5 linked regions of the Canis lupus familiaris genome follow. The protein of the gene in region 5 purifies or fractionates together with the protein of the main gene of each other region. This does not show direct contact. Links are inferred from orthologs where the notes say so. Each region holds a gene or a part of one and is shown on either strand. Other genes may lie near its edges.

Evidence for each region.
Region 1: the proteins of PTPN5 (region 5) and ATP5PO purify together in Homo sapiens (affinity purification with mass spectrometry; 3 studies listed by BioGRID and IntAct, with this or other methods). This does not show direct contact. The link is inferred for Canis lupus familiaris from reciprocal best matches to the Homo sapiens genes PTPN5 and ATP5PO.
Region 2: the proteins of PTPN5 (region 5) and MAPK3 purify together in Homo sapiens (affinity purification with mass spectrometry; 4 studies listed by BioGRID and IntAct, with this or other methods). This does not show direct contact. The link is inferred for Canis lupus familiaris from reciprocal best matches to the Homo sapiens genes PTPN5 and MAPK3.
Region 3: the proteins of PTPN5 (region 5) and MAPK14 purify together in Homo sapiens (affinity purification with mass spectrometry; 3 studies listed by BioGRID and IntAct, with this or other methods). This does not show direct contact. The link is inferred for Canis lupus familiaris from reciprocal best matches to the Homo sapiens genes PTPN5 and MAPK14.
Region 4: the proteins of PTPN5 (region 5) and MAPK1 purify together in Homo sapiens (affinity purification with mass spectrometry; 4 studies listed by BioGRID and IntAct, with this or other methods). This does not show direct contact. The link is inferred for Canis lupus familiaris from reciprocal best matches to the Homo sapiens genes PTPN5 and MAPK1.

What each region holds. Positions count from the first base shown.
Region 1 is NC_049252.1:29,060,808-29,064,323, forward strand, and holds part of ATP5PO (ATP synthase subunit O, mitochondrial), read right to left. Parts: coding exon 3,469-3,516; intron 1,131-3,468; coding exon 1,001-1,130; intron 1-1,000. UniProt on the Homo sapiens protein: Subunit OSCP, of the mitochondrial membrane ATP synthase complex (F(1)F(0) ATP synthase or Complex V) that produces ATP from ADP in the presence of a proton gradient across the membrane which is generated by electron transport complexes of the respiratory chain.
Region 2 is NC_049227.1:18,278,792-18,282,761, forward strand, and holds the start of MAPK3 (mitogen-activated protein kinase 3), read right to left. Parts: upstream 2,812-3,970; 5' UTR 2,798-2,811; coding exon 2,625-2,797; intron 1,611-2,624; coding exon 1,428-1,610; intron 1-1,427.
Region 3 is NC_049233.1:5,397,250-5,400,765, reverse strand, and holds part of MAPK14 (mitogen-activated protein kinase 14), read right to left. Parts: intron 1,092-3,516; coding exon 918-1,091; intron 1-917. UniProt on the Homo sapiens protein: Serine/threonine kinase which acts as an essential component of the MAP kinase signal transduction pathway.
Region 4 is NC_049247.1:31,191,123-31,194,638, reverse strand, and holds part of MAPK1 (mitogen-activated protein kinase 1), read left to right. Parts: intron 1-530; coding exon 531-640; intron 641-2,915; coding exon 2,916-3,032; 3' UTR 3,033-3,041; intron 3,042-3,516. UniProt on the Homo sapiens protein: Serine/threonine kinase which acts as an essential component of the MAP kinase signal transduction pathway. MAPK1/ERK2 and MAPK3/ERK1 are the 2 MAPKs which play an important role in the MAPK/ERK cascade.
Region 5 is NC_049242.1:41,782,416-41,785,931, reverse strand, and holds part of PTPN5 (tyrosine-protein phosphatase non-receptor type 5), read left to right. Parts: intron 1-2,296; coding exon 2,297-2,376; intron 2,377-2,577; coding exon 2,578-2,715; intron 2,716-3,240; coding exon 3,241-3,351; intron 3,352-3,516. UniProt on the Homo sapiens protein: May regulate the activity of several effector molecules involved in synaptic plasticity and neuronal cell survival, including MAPKs, Src family kinases and NMDA receptors.

The sequences.
Region 1 (3,516 bases), on a different chromosome or scaffold from region 5:
GGTTGAGTGCCTGCCTTCGGCCCAGGGCGTGATCCTGGAGCCCTGGGATCGAGTCCCACATCGGGCTCCTTGCATGGAGCCTGCTTCTCCCTTTGCCTGTGTCTCTGCCCCTCTCTCTCTCTCTCTCTCTGTGTCGCTCATGAACAAATAAATAAAATCTTAAAAAAAAAAGAAAAAAAAAAAGAATGTGAATACAAAGGAGATACAACTTGTTGTTGTTTAAAAAGTATATCCAGGGCAGCCTGGGTGGCTCAGTGGTTTGGCTCCTGCCTTCAGCCCAGGGCGTGATCCTGGAGACCTGGGATCGAGTTCCGCATTGGGCTCCCTGCATGGGGCCTGCCTCTCCCTCTGCCTGTGTCTCTGCCCCCTCTTTGTGTCTCATGAATAAATAAATAGAATCTTAAAAAAAAAAAAAAAAAGTATATCCAATGTTTAAAAGAACCAGCACTGACAGGCATTTATATCAGTAAGGCGGGTGTAGGGGGAGGTCTCAGAGATCTGCAACAGGCATCTTCATCACAGCCTGTGGTCTGATTCTCCTATTTCTGGTTAGATTCCAGTGTTTGGCTACAAATCCCCAAATTAACATATATCTATATTCAAAGATGGTTTGCTTTGGAGCCCGTATTCTGGCTGACCACAGGACTTCAAAGTCAAGCCAAATGCACCAAAGAATCCACCTGTCTTCAAGGACAGAGGTACAGCCCTGGCTGCAAACCATTTTCTGGGTATGAATCCCACCGGTCTTCTCCATAGGGTGAAGGTACTGACTGTAATTATCTTCTTACATCCTAACATCCTTCAGACAGTGCTCCTCAAACTTTAATGCACAAACAATTCACCTGGGGAGCTAGTTAAGATGAAGATTCCGACTTAGCAGGTTGGCTAAGTCCTGAGACGCTTCACTGCCAAAAGGCAGGTAATGCTGATGCTCCTGATCCTTGGACATTTCCAATAGCAAGATTTCCAGCAGCTTCAGTGGAAAAGGTCTAATACTTACTGATCAGGTTGGATGTGATAGGAGAGAACCTCTCTTTTGCTGTCATGTCATTTAGGCTTTTCACTTTCACGGAACGCTTTATGTAGGGATTCATAATGGAAGCAGCCATTTTAGGTTCCTTCAAGATTTGCTGAAAGTACCAAAAAATAATTTCGTAAACTCCTTAAAGCATAAATGATCCTAGCTGCCACAACATACTTCTTTCGCATGAATCACGTATTTCGTTAATTAGCACTCAAGCACTTATGAAGAGAAGTTTACAATCAAGTACTTTTCATTGCCTTTGAGAATACTTTCTACCTTTATCTCATATATTTCTTGAAAAAATTTAAAAACACTTTGTAAGGTTTCTTAAGTCTATTTTTGCTTTTCAAGAGATTATTAAAAAATTAAGCAGCCAAAATAGTCAATTAACTGCATATTGTTAACGTATTTAATATGGGTAATCCTCTAGATTTTCACAAACTACGAGAAGGCTAGTGATGCTAACACTCATGTGCAGACCTAAAAAGGTGCTCTGATGGCAAAGGAGGCCTCCTTGTCATGCCCTGGGAGGGGGCCTCTATGTCTCAGCCTGGTCCTGCCCCTGCCCTGTCTCTTACAGGGCCCCGTGAGAGACCTCTGGTGTTTCCAGAGAAGCCTCAGCCATTCTGGGATGGGAGGTGGCTACCAGGAGTGACAGCATGGGTCTCTATTTTGTTAATTCATAAATGTCTGTTTTCAGTGACCCAAGGTAACTTCTGGTACCCTGTTCCCCTCTGTATCAGGCCAGAGTTCAATGAACCAATGGCTGTTTCCATCCGGGCACCTTTCGTTCAATTAAATACCCCTGGCAGTCCCTTTTCTCAGGCTCCTGGCCAGAACTGTGAGTCTAATCCAGGCTACTTGTCACATACTAGCATCTAGGGCTAAAATTTCAATTTAAGTGACTCCATAAAAACAACACTTTCCCCTAAAAATTGCTGACTTACAAAAATTAAAAGCATTCTGGTGTTTGGGGAATCCAGTATTTCATGTTTCTAGTTTTTTTCTGCTCCATCATCCAGTGGGAAAGCTTTGTAGTGGCATCTGTGTAGCATTAACACTTTCCTCTCAGTTCTAAAAAACTGCTAATTTTTTATAGAGACTTCAGGTAATTGCTTCCTTTCTATCTCTCTGTATCTTAACCGATTTCCAGGTTTTAGTCAAACCCCATTCTAAGAACCACAACCCAGGTCACGCTCTCTACTGTGAACACTGCTGTTCACGTTTAAAATGGGCATAAATGACAAGAGCGGGCAGTAAGTATCAGCTCCAAAAGAGCTGTGTGTGAGCCTGCCTGCTCTGTGTGGATCATGCCAACTAAGACCGCAAGCATCATCTGCAGACATAAAGGAATACAGAGCTAATGTTATCCACTAGGACAAAAGTTCTGATAAAAAAGCTTACAATGAAAAATGAACAAGTATCATCCTATGTGACTAGCCTGTGAGGGTTTTCTCTTCTGAACAGTAAGATAAAAAAATCTTTAGAAATAAGTGGATTAAAAATACAAGAACTTCTGAAAGCATAATACCAAAAAAGAGCAAAACTTTCTTGGGAGAGGGTATAGACTCCACCTTCAATCTAGAACTCAAAGAGGAGAATTTCAGGATGCCTGGGTGGCTCAATGGTTGAGCGTCTGCCTTCGGCTCAGGGTGTGATCCTTAAGTCCTAGGATTAAGTCCCACATCAGGCTTCCTGCGTGGAGCCTGCTTCTCCCTCTGCCTGTATCTCTGCCTCTCTCTCTGTGTCTCTCATGAATAAATAAAATCTTTGGGAAAAAAAAAAGAGAGAGAGAATTTCTGCTGTAAACAAAATGGGCAGGAACCTGTTAACTAGAAAATGGAGTTAAAATTACAGCAGATTTTCCCCTTTAAGTTACATAGTAGACTTCGGTTAATTCAATTATTTTACTCTTTATGTTAAAAAAAATGTTAAAATGGACTCCCTTGTAAGCTTCATTATCTTTATCAGTTCTCTATTATCATTACAGAGCCCATATGACTTTCCTAATTTTGCTGCCCAGCATGCTGTGCTTGGTCATTTTCCTCTCACATCTTGGGAATAAAATAAAAATTGAAACTGAGGAAAGGCTTCAAAAGGAAAAGAAATTCCTAGTAAGGCACGTTATAATACATTCTAAAAACTATTTTGAAAATACCTGAAATACAAACACAGATTTTCAAAGGTGACTTCTATTTCTCCTCTAAGCCCCAAGTCTTGGTTCCTAATATTAATATCCTGGTATGTATCTGCCTGTACCTACCACACAATAGGTTCAAAATATTAATACCCACTACTATCACTATCAACATGATTTCGGGTTTTTTCTTTTTTTATAGTTCATTTTCTCTCAGGATATGTCTCATTAGGGCTACACGGCCAAATAACCAAAACAAAAAACATATGATCGAAATTTAGTAAGTAATGAACAAAAAACTACTTACTGCTACTCTCAACAATTCCTTTTCTACTTGTTCCAGTTTATTCTGTTT
Region 2 (3,970 bases), on a different chromosome or scaffold from region 5:
AAGCAGTTATGAAGACTCAGTGAGGTGACCCATGGAAACCAGCCGGCCCAGTCCAGAGCCTAGCATGTTGTAAGTGCTCAGCAAACATGAACTAGTGTTGCTATGATAAATGCCTAAGCCACATGGCTGTTGAGAGGGTTAAATGAGATAGTGTGAACACCATCTGGCATGCAATAAATGTTTGCTTAAAAATAAATGCCTGCCTTATGGGGAATGGTTTGGGCAAGACAAATGAGGAGAAACTCCCAACAGCATGCTCCTCCTCAAAGAGTGCCTGGCCATACATCAGAAGATGGAAGAGTAAATGTCCTTTGGTATTTTAAGAGAAAACAAAGATTAAACATACGTTAAGTAAATAAATAAATAAATAAATAAATGCCATTTGGTTGCTCTCTGAAAGAATAAGTCAGGGCTGTCTTTTAGAATCAGCCTTGAAAGAGCCTTCTGAAGACACCTGGGCCGATTATGCTGTTTGAGAGGTGAGGAGGCCCAGCAAGATGCAGTGACTTGCTTAAGGTCACACAGCAAGCTAGTGGCGAGTGTGGAGATTTCCTGCCCACAGCTTGTGGTGGGGGCTGCAGACAGTGCAGCACAAATCCCCACATTTGGGTGGAGAACTGGGACTGGCTGGGGGTGGGTAGGGTGGGGAGAGGTGATGGGTGCTATAAGCTGCTAACAACAGGGCCTGACAGGAAGTGGACGACAAGCTAGGGAAGCAATGTGGGGGGGGGAGGGCAACAAAGACAAGGCTGTCCCTCCCTGGGCGAAGTGCAAGTCCACAGGTGACTGGGGTGAGGCTCTGAGCAGGAAATGTCAGAGAAAGGACAGTTCTCATCTGGGGGAGGTTAGGAGGCAGCAACAGCAGCACCTGATTTGGGGCTTTCTGAGCCTCAGTTTTCTCATCTTTGAAATGGAGCTGATGAGACCCATCTCATACAGCAGCTGGGAGGTAGAATAAGAAGTGTCAAAGCATTTGGCGTGCACTGCACCTCACTCATAGTAGGCCCTTCAGAACGGGCAGTTTTCTTCCTTCCTGCCTTCCTTCCAGTCTGCAGACCCAGAGAGGAAAGAATCATCATCTGTTAAACAAGAACTGTCTGTGGGCAGAGGCTGGGTCACGTCACAGAAATGCAGATGTCAAAAGACAAAGCTCCCATAGAGCCCAACTCTCACCCTCCCCCCAAATGAGGCACAGCATGGAGCACAGACTTGCCCAAGGCCACACAGCCTGGTTACAGCAGGCCAGGATTCACCTCAGGCCTCCCAGTCCTCTTACACTCTGTGGTCTCTTTTCTGCTGGAAAGTTTCATTTGCTGGGTTTGTTTTGGAGTGTGGCAGGAAAGAAGGAAACAGAAAGAAAGCCAACGTTCTCCCAGCCCGGCTCTGAGGCTATGCCTAGCCAGCCATCTGGCCAAGGTGAAGGATACACATCCCTCATGGCGTCCAGGGTGGGCGCCCGCAGAATGTCCCGAATGCCAATGACGTTCTCATGGCGGAAGCGCAGCAAGATCTGGATCTCCCTCAGTGTGCGCTGGCAGTAGGTCTGATGCTCAAAGGGGCTGATTTTCTTGATGGCCACGCGAACCTTGCGCACGTGGTCGTAAGCTGAGCTGAGAGGGTCAGAGAGATGTTGTTGGTGTGGCCTTACATAGGGGGAGTCCAGGCCTGGTGGCCCTACCCAGGCCTGAGCAGGGAGGGGAGGGAGCATGAGAGGACTCTGGCCAAGTCATAAACAATGCTGGTTCCTTCCTGCTGTGAAGGCCTGGGATCTCCAGGGAGAAAGCTGGGGACCAGCCAGGCAGCCCTTCGGTGACTTCACAAACAGAGGAAGAGACTGACCGTTCACTGACTTCCCCTCTCCTCAGCCCTGTCCATTCTAGTTGCCCTGACCTCTCATCCTCCCCTCTCCAGGCTGGGCTCCTTCAACCCAAGACAGGTCCAGGGAGTGGGAGGTGAGTGCAGGACGCACAGTGAGGCACAGTGAGAAGGAGGCGGTCAGGAGGGATGGGAAAGAAGGGATGAGGTGTTAGGGTCAGGCACCTGGGCAGGAGAGCTGTTCCCAGATGAACAAAGGCCCAGAGCACACAGTGGGGACGAGAGAGCTAACAGACCCCTTCTAAAAGTTGCAAGAACGCACCCCTGGACCCCTCATGGGTCACCGGGCTCCTGGCCCCAGGCCCAAAGCCCTGCCCCACCCTGCCCAGCCCTGAGCTCTGCTCTCCCCAGCTCCTTGGCAGGCCTCACTGGGAGAATCCAAGGCATCCTTTCCCCAGAGTAGGGTCCTTCACTCGGTCCTCACTGATATCACCTCCCCAAGAATACTTCGTGTCTCCGCCTCCTCCCGCGTCCACAGAGTCCCCAGGGTCCCCCCACGGCTCCCCCGCGGACACTCCGATGCCCCTCCCTTCACTACAGAATGGTCGCTCCTGAGGCCTCCCAAGCCCCCTCCCCTTAGAACGTAGGCGGCGCCGCTCCCCCAGAGCACCCCAGGGCCGCGCCGTGGGACGCCCCGCCGGCCTCGTGAAGCCCCCGCCTCCTCGGGACCCTGGGAGCGCCCCGGCCCGAGGGCACTCACCCTCGCGCGCGCCCCCCCACGAGCCCCCTCCTCCGGAACGCCCCCTCACCTGACCATGCCGTACGCGCCCTCGCCGATGTAGTGCAGCTCCGTGTAGCGCGGGCCCACGTCGAACGGCTGCCCCTTCACCACCTCCACCTCCCCCGAGACCCCCGGGCCGACCCCATCGGCTCCCCGGGGCTCCCCGCCCCCGCCCCCCTGAGCCGCCGCCGCCGCCGCCATCTCCACTCCTCCCCTCCCGCCTCCCCGCCTCCCCCCGGCGGCCCCGCCCGAGGCCCCGCCCCTTCCCGCCCGCCCCGCGCCCCGCGCCCCGCGCCCCGCCGCCGGCTGAGCCGCGTGCGCCAGGCCCCGCCCCCGCGCGCCCCCGCGCGCCCCCGCGCGCCCCACGTGACCCCCGCGCGCTCCCGGGCGCCCTCGGCTGCTGCCCGGGTCCCCGGTGCCCGGCCGCTCCGTCTGCTGCTGGCAGCCCGTAGGGACGAGCGCGGCGGCCGGGAGACGGTGCACCCCTCCCGCCGAATGCAGGCTATAGCCGGCAGGGCCGCCAGGTGACCTTCCCGGAGCCACCCAGCAAGCGGGTGCGGGAGCTGGGGCCGGGACCGAGTCGCCTGGCCCCGCCAGCTCTGCTGCCAACCGAGTCGCGGCCCGGGGCTCGAGATGGAGCCCCAAGGGGGCCCTCCCCAGCCCTCTGGAGTGTGGCCTCCGAGCGAGGCTCGGCCCGACGACACACGGCCGCATCCGCATTTCCCAGTAGCGTGGGAGATGGCTTCTTCGCAGATACGGCCTGCCTTTCACAGATGAGGGGCCGAGGCTGGTGACTTGGAGCCACCGAGAACCCGCAGGTCCAGACTCAGCCTAATGGGTTTCTGACAGGCCTGCGAGAGTGGACTAGGGGCTTGGCCTCTTGCCAGCGACAGTACAGTGCTGGAAGTGAGCACCCATAACCTCAGCCCATTTAGGTGGAACTGCAACAGAAGGGCGGGAAAGCTGCCTGCAGTGTTGACCAGGTTTGGTTAAAATACACTATCAGGCTTCTCTCAAAAAACAGCAAAATAGGTGACGATTTTGTTGTCATTGGACTTGGTGAAACTGGAATCCTGGCAGGATCACCATCTTTTGATGGGATGCAAGATTTTGTAGTTTACACCATACTTGGACCAGCTGGGTTTCTTCCATAGGACAACCGCACATTATAGGTGTCCTCCGATTTTCTTAACAGGATGAGCAGGGGCCATGTCTGTCTTGCTCATTACTGTATCCTCCCCTGTACCTGACGCTCAGACGTTCAAAGATTTTTGACTGGATAAATCAAATTGTATGGATGGGGAGTTGAGACTTAAAATGATATCTTTTGACACAGAGGCAGAGGCTCTTTTCAATTCCATTCAATCTCCCAGA
Region 3 (3,516 bases), on a different chromosome or scaffold from region 5:
TCCTGTCCAGGCCAGTGATTGGATGGACGACTTCAAATAACCACTTCATTGCTTACATGTTATAACCTAAAGGAACATGTGATTACATAGAAGTTCAAGGATACACAAAAAGAACTATTTTTACTTATTTGTTTCATTCCACCGTGCCTCCTCTTTTAAGCTCTCTGGAGAAGATGCTCAAGAATAGCAGAGCACTTCTACAAGCTACGGAATAGATAATTTTGCCTTTGGGATCTACCTGGAGTTCTGAATGTGTTTTTATGGAAAGAATTTGAAGTTGGGATATAGAGGAGACATAGGTTTCATTTCTGGCTGTGTCCCTAAGTAGGTCCAAGGTAACAGATAAGATGCAGACTATCGATTATAAAACTATAGGGGCACCTGGACGGCTCAGTGGTTGAGCGTCTGCCTTTGGCTCAGGTTGTGGTCCTGGGATCAAGTCCCACCTTGGGCTCCCTGCAGGGAGCCTGCTTCTCCCTCTGCCTTTGTCTCTGCCTTTCTGTGTCTCTCATGAATAAATAAATAAAATCTTCTTAAAAATTATAAAACTATAATTCTAGAGTTTTATCAATCGTAAAACTACAAAAATACCTTATTCCCTACTTCTCTCAGACAGATGTTGTAAACGCAGATTCTGAGAACCTTGAAGCTCTATACAGATGTAAGGGGGGGGGGTTGCACAAAATCAGACCAGACACAAGCACCTCAAAGGTCCAGAGAGTGTCATCATCTACAACAGACAGTTTCCATCAGAAGAACATATCCATCCTGCATCAGACACACTAGTTACAAGTTTTAACAAATTGATTATAACCAGAAATTTTATTTTCCCACAGCTTTTGGTTAGTGGCTCACCTAAGAAACATTTTAAAATCTAAGTTCCCACACTTGATGTTAATCCTGCTCTTATGACTTACTTTTCCATTCATCTATAAGGAGGTCCCTGCTTTCAAAGGACTGATCGTAAGGATCAGCCACTGGTTCATCATCTGGATCATGGTACTGAGCAAAGTAGGCATGTGCGAGGGCTTGGGCTGCTGTAATTCTCTTGTCTGAGTCCAATACAAGCATCTTCTCCAGCAAGTCGACAGCTATCAGCCCCACAGATTAGAAGGAAAAAAAAAAGTTTTTAACACGTCACCAAAAAAATCAGGCCTTATTAAGCAAATACACAGTATTGAGTCTTCATATGGAACAAAGAATTCTCCCCCCATGTGTCTGCTCTAAGAAACATGATCTCTTTTCTTCTTTATGTGTATGTATGTCTAGGGATGTGTTTTGTATTAAGAATACGTTACTAAAGAACAAGTTTTAAAAATAACCGAAACTCTGTATGAACAAACTTTTGTAGAATGTCAGTGTCAAACAGCTAAGACTGTACTCAAACTGTGTCAAAAGGAAAACTTATAACCAAACTAATCTAGAAAAGGTAAGCAGGGATTTTTTGATTTTTCACTTTTTTGTCTCCCTGTGCTGTTTATTTACTAACATAAGGCAATGAATATTCATCAAACAGATCTTCCAACAATGAACAAACTGAGGGTTTTACATGGGTGTGTGGGTGAGACACGGTATTTGGATAAAAGAAATATAAAATTTTCACTATGACAAATTTCAATATACAAAACAATAGTATAGTGATTACTCATACGCCTACCACCCATATCCAACAATTAACATTATTTCTTTTTTTACCTATTTGGAGCTTTTGCTGGACCATTTTAAAATAAAATGATAGACATGACACTTTACCTCTAAATATTTCAGCATAAATACATCTTTCTATATAATCACAAAACCATTATATATGACAAATAATTCTGAAATATCATCTAAAAATCCAGTTTATGTTAAAACTTCTCCAGTTATCCCAAAGTTGTCTTTTACACCTGGTTTGTTCAAACTGGGATCCAATTAAGAACCACACATTACATCTGACTGAGGTTCCTAGGGTGAAAAGAACCATGTCCTGATAACCAATACCTTGATGAGGAATAAGGTCAGGGGTAAGGAAAAGGTTCCTCTAAGATCTTGACAGATACAAACACACACTATATCAAAGGTCAATTCAACTTTTAATTCGTGTTTTGAGAATAATAGTCGAACATGAAGTCAGTGACTGACAAAATGCAGCTGTCATTATTTACATCATCGGTGTGTTCCTGCTCAGTTAATATGCTGGGCACAAGTTCGTGGTCAGTAACACCATGTTCTGTCTGCAAGAAGAGACTCTTTGTATGACGTCACTATTTGGCAATGAGCTATCAGGCATGTTTAGATTCTGAGAACTGCCGTGCTGAGCACCAGATGGCCCAAAGCCTCCATTCAACTCATTGGCAGTCTGTATTGCTAAGTGGTATCCAGTTCTTTTGAATGTTTAAATGTCATGATTCCAGAGAAGGATGGATGTGACCTAAATAAGCTGTGGGGACACACACATACTCCCCGCCCCCTTATCTCCCTTCTCTAGAAAAATGAGTTAACAAATCTCTTGGAGTTGGCTAATAGGAAGTCAAACAGTGAGCACTGCCAGGTCTGAAACATGAACTGATAGGATGAAAATACATTCAAAACAGAATGACAGACAAGAAAACTACCAGCATCCAGCATAATTTCCCAACATCCTAGAGTATTTATGACTTGAATAGAGCTTCTCACAGATCCTTGAACTTGATAATATAACTCAAATAAATCCTACAGAGCCAAGGGGAGCAGATCGGGGCAGATGCAAATCTGAACCAATGGCATAGAATTCTGTGTATAGCCCTGACGAGTTTGTGGGCTCATTTTTGGATGGGAGAGTAGCCCTGCTGAGAACTCACATACTTACAATCTCCAAGGCTGACACAGACTCACCCAGAACTGCCCAACATTTCGAAGAATGTAAGCATCTCTGCTATTGTAAAAATTATCACAGGAACACTGAAATCACTCTCAACGAGCACTGTGGACAAAGTACTTAAAAAGGGGAAACCACTTAGCCTTCATTACAACTTCTGAAAAGGGTGTCATGACTATCAGCTCTCAAAGGGCAAAACAACCTGAAGTACAGCTGCTGGGACCAAGCAGAGGGATGATTTTTTTAACATGCCAACATAACACAATCTTCAGGAAAGTGAGAAGGTTGCTTATACTATTATCATGGCATGGCTCCCTTCCCTGTCACAGGAAGGCCTGGTCTGATTTTTCCCTGTCTGCTGTTAAATGGCACTGTCCACTGCACAATCCTTGATTCAGGGAGGTAGGGTCTCAGGCAGTGCCACTTTTAGGAGCCAACCAAAGCACATAATAACGCCAACTTCAAGGAAGAAATCAACTTTCATTTTAGCCAAGGCAGTACATATCCTGCAGCTACCACTGTTACTTCCCTCTGCAAAGGATCCTGGAAGTGATGGTGGCAGGAAGGAATGTGGAGCCATTCCTTAAAGTCTGAGGTGGCAAATTATCTCCACAAAGAAGACAGAATGGGGGTGGGGGAGGCGGGGGGGGGGGGCAGGGAGGGGCATATAGAAGAAG
Region 4 (3,516 bases), on a different chromosome or scaffold from region 5:
TTGGGCCTTGGAGAAAGATGCCAAGCTGCAGAGTGGGCCAGGGGGCCTGTGCTTCACACATGGATCTCAGCCAGGACCTGGAAACCACACAGGAGGACAAGTGACCATTGTCTTCTGTGACCTTAGAGGCCTTCTTTATATGTTGAAAGATAAACTGACCATTGCAGAGAGGACTTTGGATTTCAGAGAAATACATATATAACACTTTACCTTCAGATGCCTGCAAAACATAAGAATGGTTTAGGGGAAAAAATCCAGGTTTTGTAGGAAGAGTTGGGTTTGAACCCTAGGCTTCCACTTTCAGCCTTTGGCTGATCACATCACCTTTCTGAGTCTAGGTCTGCAATTGTTAGATTAGCCACAGTCTTGAGAAGCTCAGAGAGGTAATAGGCACCCAGTGTGCTGCTGGCTCTTCTCCCCATAGTGATGCTTAGTTCCATTGTTTCATGAGTCAATTTAAACAGGAAATGGAAAGTAATCAGTAAATGTTCCTTTGGCTTCTCACCACTGCAAAACCTTTCTCTTTGTAGCTCTGGATTTACTGGACAAAATGTTGACATTCAACCCTCACAAGAGGATTGAAGTAGAACAGGCTCTGGCCCATCCGTATCTGGAGCAGTATTATGACCCAAGTGATGAGGTAAGACCTATACCCTGGCTGCTGCTTCAGGAATATCTATCAGGCAGCAGTAGGCCCAACCAGGAAGGGCCCAGATGTCACGTTAGATTGGTTCTGAGAAGTGTATGATGCCACACCTGGTCCTCTCAGCCTGCATTGTCTGCTTGAGGACTAGTACTGTCAGCACAGCTTGAAACCTCTCCCTACCCCACCCCCCAAACCCCTTCTGTCTCAGAAAGCTTCCTCCAGGGCACCTGCAGCAGAGGTGGGACTGGGGAAATAGATGAGTAAAGGGGAGCACGAATAAACAGGCAGTCCAAGGCTAGAGACCATTGTCATGGTCTGTGGCAGGAAGAGCTACCTCAATCACAGTGCCTGTCTGAGGGTGGAAAGGAGGCCAACTGCCTGCTTGGAGAGGGGCATTGCAAGGGGGCGGTATGCCTGGTATGTGCCTGGTATGCCTCCTTAGGTATGGGGATACTAGAGCCTCTTGTGGTAAGAAATGCGTCCAGAGGTGGATGTGGCAGGCCTCCAAAGCCAGGTAAAGATCCTGTGTGTAAAAAAAAAAAAAAAAAAAAATCCTGTGTGTCATGTTTATCTCTAAGAAAGTCCCAGTTCCTTAGCCTCTTGGATTCTTCTGGGGCTTTATTCTCTGGATGGTAATGAAGAAAAATGTAGTATGAACCAAAGTTTGGATCTTTCTAGTGGAGGCTCATGCAGAGACAGTAAGCTTTCATAAGAGAACCAAGCGGAGTGTGTTAAAAGGAAAAATGGAAGAGGAAAAGAAAAAGATATAAAAGTTAAAAACTGATAAATGAAAGAGAAAGAAGAAATCAAAAAGAGGAAGTATTTCCTAATTAGCCCCCTTCCATCTCTGTCCCCTACCCTCAGAAATAATGGAGGCAGCTTACAAAGATACCTACAACATAATAAATAATAGGGAAGGAGGGGAGAGTGTAAAGTTTGGAGCTCTGACCAGCCCTATGAGCCCCCCGTGTCCTAATCACAAGCCTAGGTGGTACTCCAAATCCAGTTAGCAGGTGGGAGGACCAGAAGGATGGCATATGTGGGACACCATTGTGACCTCACACATACAGCTGCCCTTCAAAGAGGGCTAACTACTTGTTTTTCTCTTGTGGACACGAATCCTTTTCCCCCTTTCAAAAAACCAATGCTTAGTGCAGAGTTGGTGTCCATGTTTCCTTACCCTGAAGGCCTGGTGTGAGGATTACATGGATAAAATCTAGGAGTGCCTGGTAACTAGGCATCCACTGATTGATAGCTGGAATCCTCATCAGATTAGTTGTAGAACATTGTGTTAGTTTGGAGGTACTTAAAAATCAAAATATAAATAATATCAATTGACTGATTTTCTTTTTCACCATTGTATATATGGAAATTCTTTGACATAGTCATTTTAAATATGTACTTAAATATTAAATAGCCTTCTGATTAGTCATAGGTTGTGCTGAAAAGTAAAAATGAAAACTTGCAGAAAACTATGACAGATCATGTTGTAGTCTTGTTACACAGATATTAAGATTTTGGAGTATTTTCTTCTCAGTCTAATATTTCTGTATCTAAACTTTTTTTAAAAACAGGGTTTTGTTTAACACAAACATGCACATTTCCCCATAATATTATTCTTTCTTACGGCTTCATTTTTAATGACTCCATAGTAATTTTTCATATGAAGATAGTATAATGTATTTAATCAAGTATTTGATTTTGAGTATCATGGCTTTTGATTGTGTAAACCTATCCCCACAACAGCAAATTTCTGTTACTTCAATACTTAGTGCCTTAAAATTTTTTTTTTTTTTTTTTTTTTAAGATTTTATTTATTTACTCATGAGAGACACAGAGAGAGAGAGAGGCAGAGACACAGGCAGAGGGAGAAGCAGGCTCCCCGCAAGGAGCCGGATGCGGGACTCGATCATGGATCCCAGAATCATGCCCTGGGCCAAAGGCAGATGCTCAACCACTGAGCCACCCCGGTGTCCCAGTGCCTTAAAATTTTGAAAATGATTTTGGGATTAGTGGTAAATTCAGAAGAGTGGTCAAAATAGATTTAGTTGCTCCCCGTGCATTTACTGTATGTTCACAGAAAATGTGCCTTTTGGATCACGTAGATGGAATACGGGTACATAGATACTTCTCAGAGCTTTTGGGTTTCCAAAGATGTCAGTGCTACTATATACATTTCAGAGTTGAATCCACATACATTATGAATCAGTACATGACTACCTCAACCACAATCACTCTTGTCTACTCCATGTTCTTTGCTCTCCTACAGCCCATCGCTGAGGCGCCATTCAAGTTTGACATGGAGCTAGATGACCTGCCCAAGGAAAAGCTCAAGGAGCTCATCTTCGAAGAGACAGCTAGATTCCAGCCGGGATACAGATCTTAAATTTATCAGGTACCTAGAGTTTTAGTCGCACAACAAACCCTGGTGAGGGAGAGAGAATATAAATTAAATGTTATTAAAAAGAAAGGGGAAGCCTGGGTGGCTCAGTGGTTGAGTGTCTGCCTTTGGCTCAGGACATGATCCCAGGGTTCCGGGGTCAAGTCCTCCATCGGGCTCCCCACGAGAAGCCTGCTTTTCCCTCTGCCTATGTCTCTGCCTCTCTCTCTCTCTCCCTCTCTCCCTCTCTCTCTCTCTCTCTCTCTCTTAAATAAATAAATAAATAAATAAATAAATAAATAAATAAATAATAAATAAATAAATAAATAAAATTTACAAAATATTTCCTTGAGTTCCACATGGAAGTTTCCTTTGCTTAAGTTTTAAAGGGTGGTGAGCAATGTTGTGGTATCGGTAAGATTTCAAAAAATTGTGTTCAAGAAAAAGGAAATGCAGATCTTGATTTTAGAGAACATACAGAAAGAGGAGA
Region 5 (3,516 bases):
GCCCCAGGGGCTGAGACTTCAGGCATGAATGAGCCATGGGGACTTCATGGTCTCGTGGGGGAACAGACCCATGGACGGTGAGTAGGACAGAGTGACCAGTGACCCAGCTGGCAGCACTGAAGGCAAAATAACAGGGGAGCGATTTCTGTCCTTTTTGTCACCACGTCCCAAGTGCCAAAATAGTGCCTGGCACCTCGTAGACAGTCTGCTCCTATTTGAGTGAGGGAGGGAAGGAGGGAATGAATGAATGAACGTCTCTCAGGTCAGCTCAGCCTCTCCATCCTCACTGCCGGATGACTTTTCGGGGGCCAGGGCTTGTCTGTTGCCCAGTCCCATACCACCCCTGGAGTTGTGCCAGGCAGTCGTCTCCTGACTGCCCTGCTGAAGCCCACACTCTTCCCTCCTGTTCTTCGGCTACCGTTAGCACAGAAATGGTAGAAAGCAGAAATCCAATCGTGTCATCCTCTTCCTTAAACATTGTCACCATCCCCCTTGTAATCCTCGGGTTTTGGCCCAGCCTTGATTTATAAGACCCTCTGTCGGTCCCTCTCCAGGCCATGTCTCTGCCCCCCCCCCCACCCCCCTGCCCTGTGCCCTGTGCCCTGGACTCAATCACACAGGGTGCTGCTGTTCCTTACTCCTCTCCTGCTGTCAGACCCCATGCAGCCTACCTGCCTGCCCACCTGCCCCATACTCGGGGGCAAGGACGTGTCTCGTTCACTGAGGAGTCCCTACCCTCGAGCCCTGCACCAGGCACAGAGACCGCGCCCAGTGGGGTCATCATTCCCACAGTGGTTCTTTAGTGCCACAGGCCCTCCTGGTGTCTGGTCCGAGGGTGCTGTGCCTACTTCTGACACCTAATCTGGGCAGGCACCGCCAAGAAGGGAGATGGCCCCTCAGCACGCCCTGCTCCTTCCTTCCACTGACCACGCAGCATCCCCTCCACTCACCCCCTCCCTCTGCCCTCCTAACACCCCTCTGTGCCCCCATCCACAGGGGCAGCCCCACCATGGGGCTGGGCATAAAAGGGCCAGAGGGCAGAGGCCTGTGAGTGTCACCTGTTTGTCCTACCCGGTTTGGGATCCTCTCTACCTGTTAACTTCTAGGGAAGCTCTGTGCCATATGGTGTGTGCCGGGCTAAGTTACTGGTTTAAGGCCAAGCTACCATTCCCTCCTTTCATCCTTACAAGACGAGTGGGGCTGTGATGGAAGGGATGTCTCCAGTTCACAGACCCACACAGGGAAATTAAGTCAATGGTGCACACTGCTAGCAAGCCACAGCATCAGGACTCGAACCCAGCCCTCTGGCTCCCTGTACTGTCTCGGAGAGCCCCCGGCTGTGTGCCGGAAGCTCCTTCAGTTCAGCTGTCCCTATTTAGGAAAGAAAGGGAAACCCAGAGAAGGGATAAGACTGTGAGCTGGTGACAGAGCCAGGGCAGAAGCCAGGGCCCCGTTCCCCCCACCCCACGACGTCCCTGCCCACCCCACGCACCCTCCCATCTCTAGGCCCAGCCTCTGCGGCCTGACCAAAGAGGCAGTTCAGGGAGGCTCTCGCTGGCACAAAATGGATTCCGTTCCAGGAAGAGGAGCAGGAGGTTGTGAGAATCTATAACTGTGGGATTGGACATGTCAGTCGATGGAGAAAAAAGAAAACAAAAAACAAAAACCCTTCGTGCACGTGTGTGCATCTGCTGCGGAGACCCTGCCATTGCGTTGCAGGCGCGGGAGGCTCGGCGCTCTCCATCCCTCGGCTCTCCCTCAGCTTTCTACCCCCAAATCTCAACAGCCCTATATATTTGTAAAGCACTTGACGGTTTACATCGCACCTTCCCAGCTGTTTTCTCATTTGTCTTCCCAACAACCCTAGGAAGTAGGCAGCTTTACCCCTGTATTTCAGACGGGACAGTTGAGGCTTAGGAAGGCCGTGTGCCGTTCAGGTGGACCCAGCTCGTCAGTGACCGTGTGCACCCAAACCCTCGCTGCCCCCGCTGACCGGGATGTGTCCCCTGGGTCATCCTTTTCTTGACTTAGCTCTGCCCTCTCCAGAACATGAGGCCCAGGGAGCCCAGGGCAGCTTGAGGGACCCGGGCAAGGGGCCGGCACTCCTGCTGTGCAGGTAGACACCCAGGGCCATGGAGATGGGCCAGGGTTTTGCTAGCAGGCAGGGGAAGGAGGAATTTCAGGAGCCCTGGGAGAGATGTGGGTGCCCTGCAGTGAGCCAGATGGGATGGGCCCCGCGCTAGAGGGGTTGTTGCACCTGTCACATGCCAGCCTCACCCACCTCCCCCCACCCCAGACCCCCACAGCAGAGTGTGTCTGACCTCACCAGACCCTGATGACCCTCTGAGTTCCTACATCAACGCCAACTACATCCGGGTACGTAGCCCTATCCCAGTGACCCACCCCCCACCCCCCGAAAGGGAGGCCCAAGCCAACAGGATCTGTCCTCCAGGCTTGTCCCTAAGCCAGCGGGGGCTCCTGCCACCCTGCGCTCCCCGGGGGGAGGGCCTGAGGGTGGGGACTGGGCCCAAGGAGCACCGCATCGGACCCTGACGGCCTGAACTTGACTGGCCGCAGGGCTACGGCGGGGAGGAGAAGGTGTACATCGCCACTCAGGGACCCATCGTCAGCACAGTCGGTGACTTCTGGCGCATGGTGTGGCAGGAGCACACGCCCATCATCGTCATGATCACCAACATCGAGGAGATGAACGAGGTAGGCACCCCTGCGCTGTTAGCAGGGGTCTGTCCTTTCCATATTAATCTCTAGAACAATGCTGAGGTTGGTAGCCTGCTGCCAAGGTGAGGGAATGGGGAGGCCGGGCAAGGTTAGGCCATTTGCTCAGGGCCACGTAGGTGGGCAGAGCCTGGAGCCGGCCTCTCCACCCCGGCTGTCTGTGACCTGAAACAGGCTGCTCTGCACCCCCCCCCCCCTCCAGCCAGGGCTCACCTGCCTGCGTCTGTACCCATACCAACCTGTTTCATTGAATCCCCAGAAGAGTCCTTCAAAGTAGGTATTCCAATTTCCGGATGAGGCAACTGATGCTCAAAAAAGAAAATTTACAGGTTAGGAAGCTGAGATTTGAACCCAGCGCTCTCTAACCGCAGACCTGTTGCCCTTTTATGTCTTTCCCTGCTGGTCCTGGAGAGGAGGGGCTGGCGGGTGGCGGCGGGGAGCAGGGTGGGGGCGCGGGGAGTGGTAGGACTGTGAGTGTATGAAGCCTGGTCTGGGCCCCCGCAGAAGTGCACTGAGTATTGGCCGGAGGAGCAGGTGGTGTACGACGGTGTGGAGATCATCGTGCAGAAGGTCATTCATACTGAGGATTACCGGCTGCGAGTCATCTCCCTCAGGGTGAGGCCAGGGGCCGGGCCAGGCGGATGGGGGGAAGGGCCCAGATAACAGGGTCCAGGAGTGCACTACGGCTGAAATCCAGGCCTGTGTCACTCTCAGGATGTAGCAGGGAGGAGGGAGGGGGGAGGAGGGGTGGATGACTTGGGGGCCAGAGGCAGGAGCAAA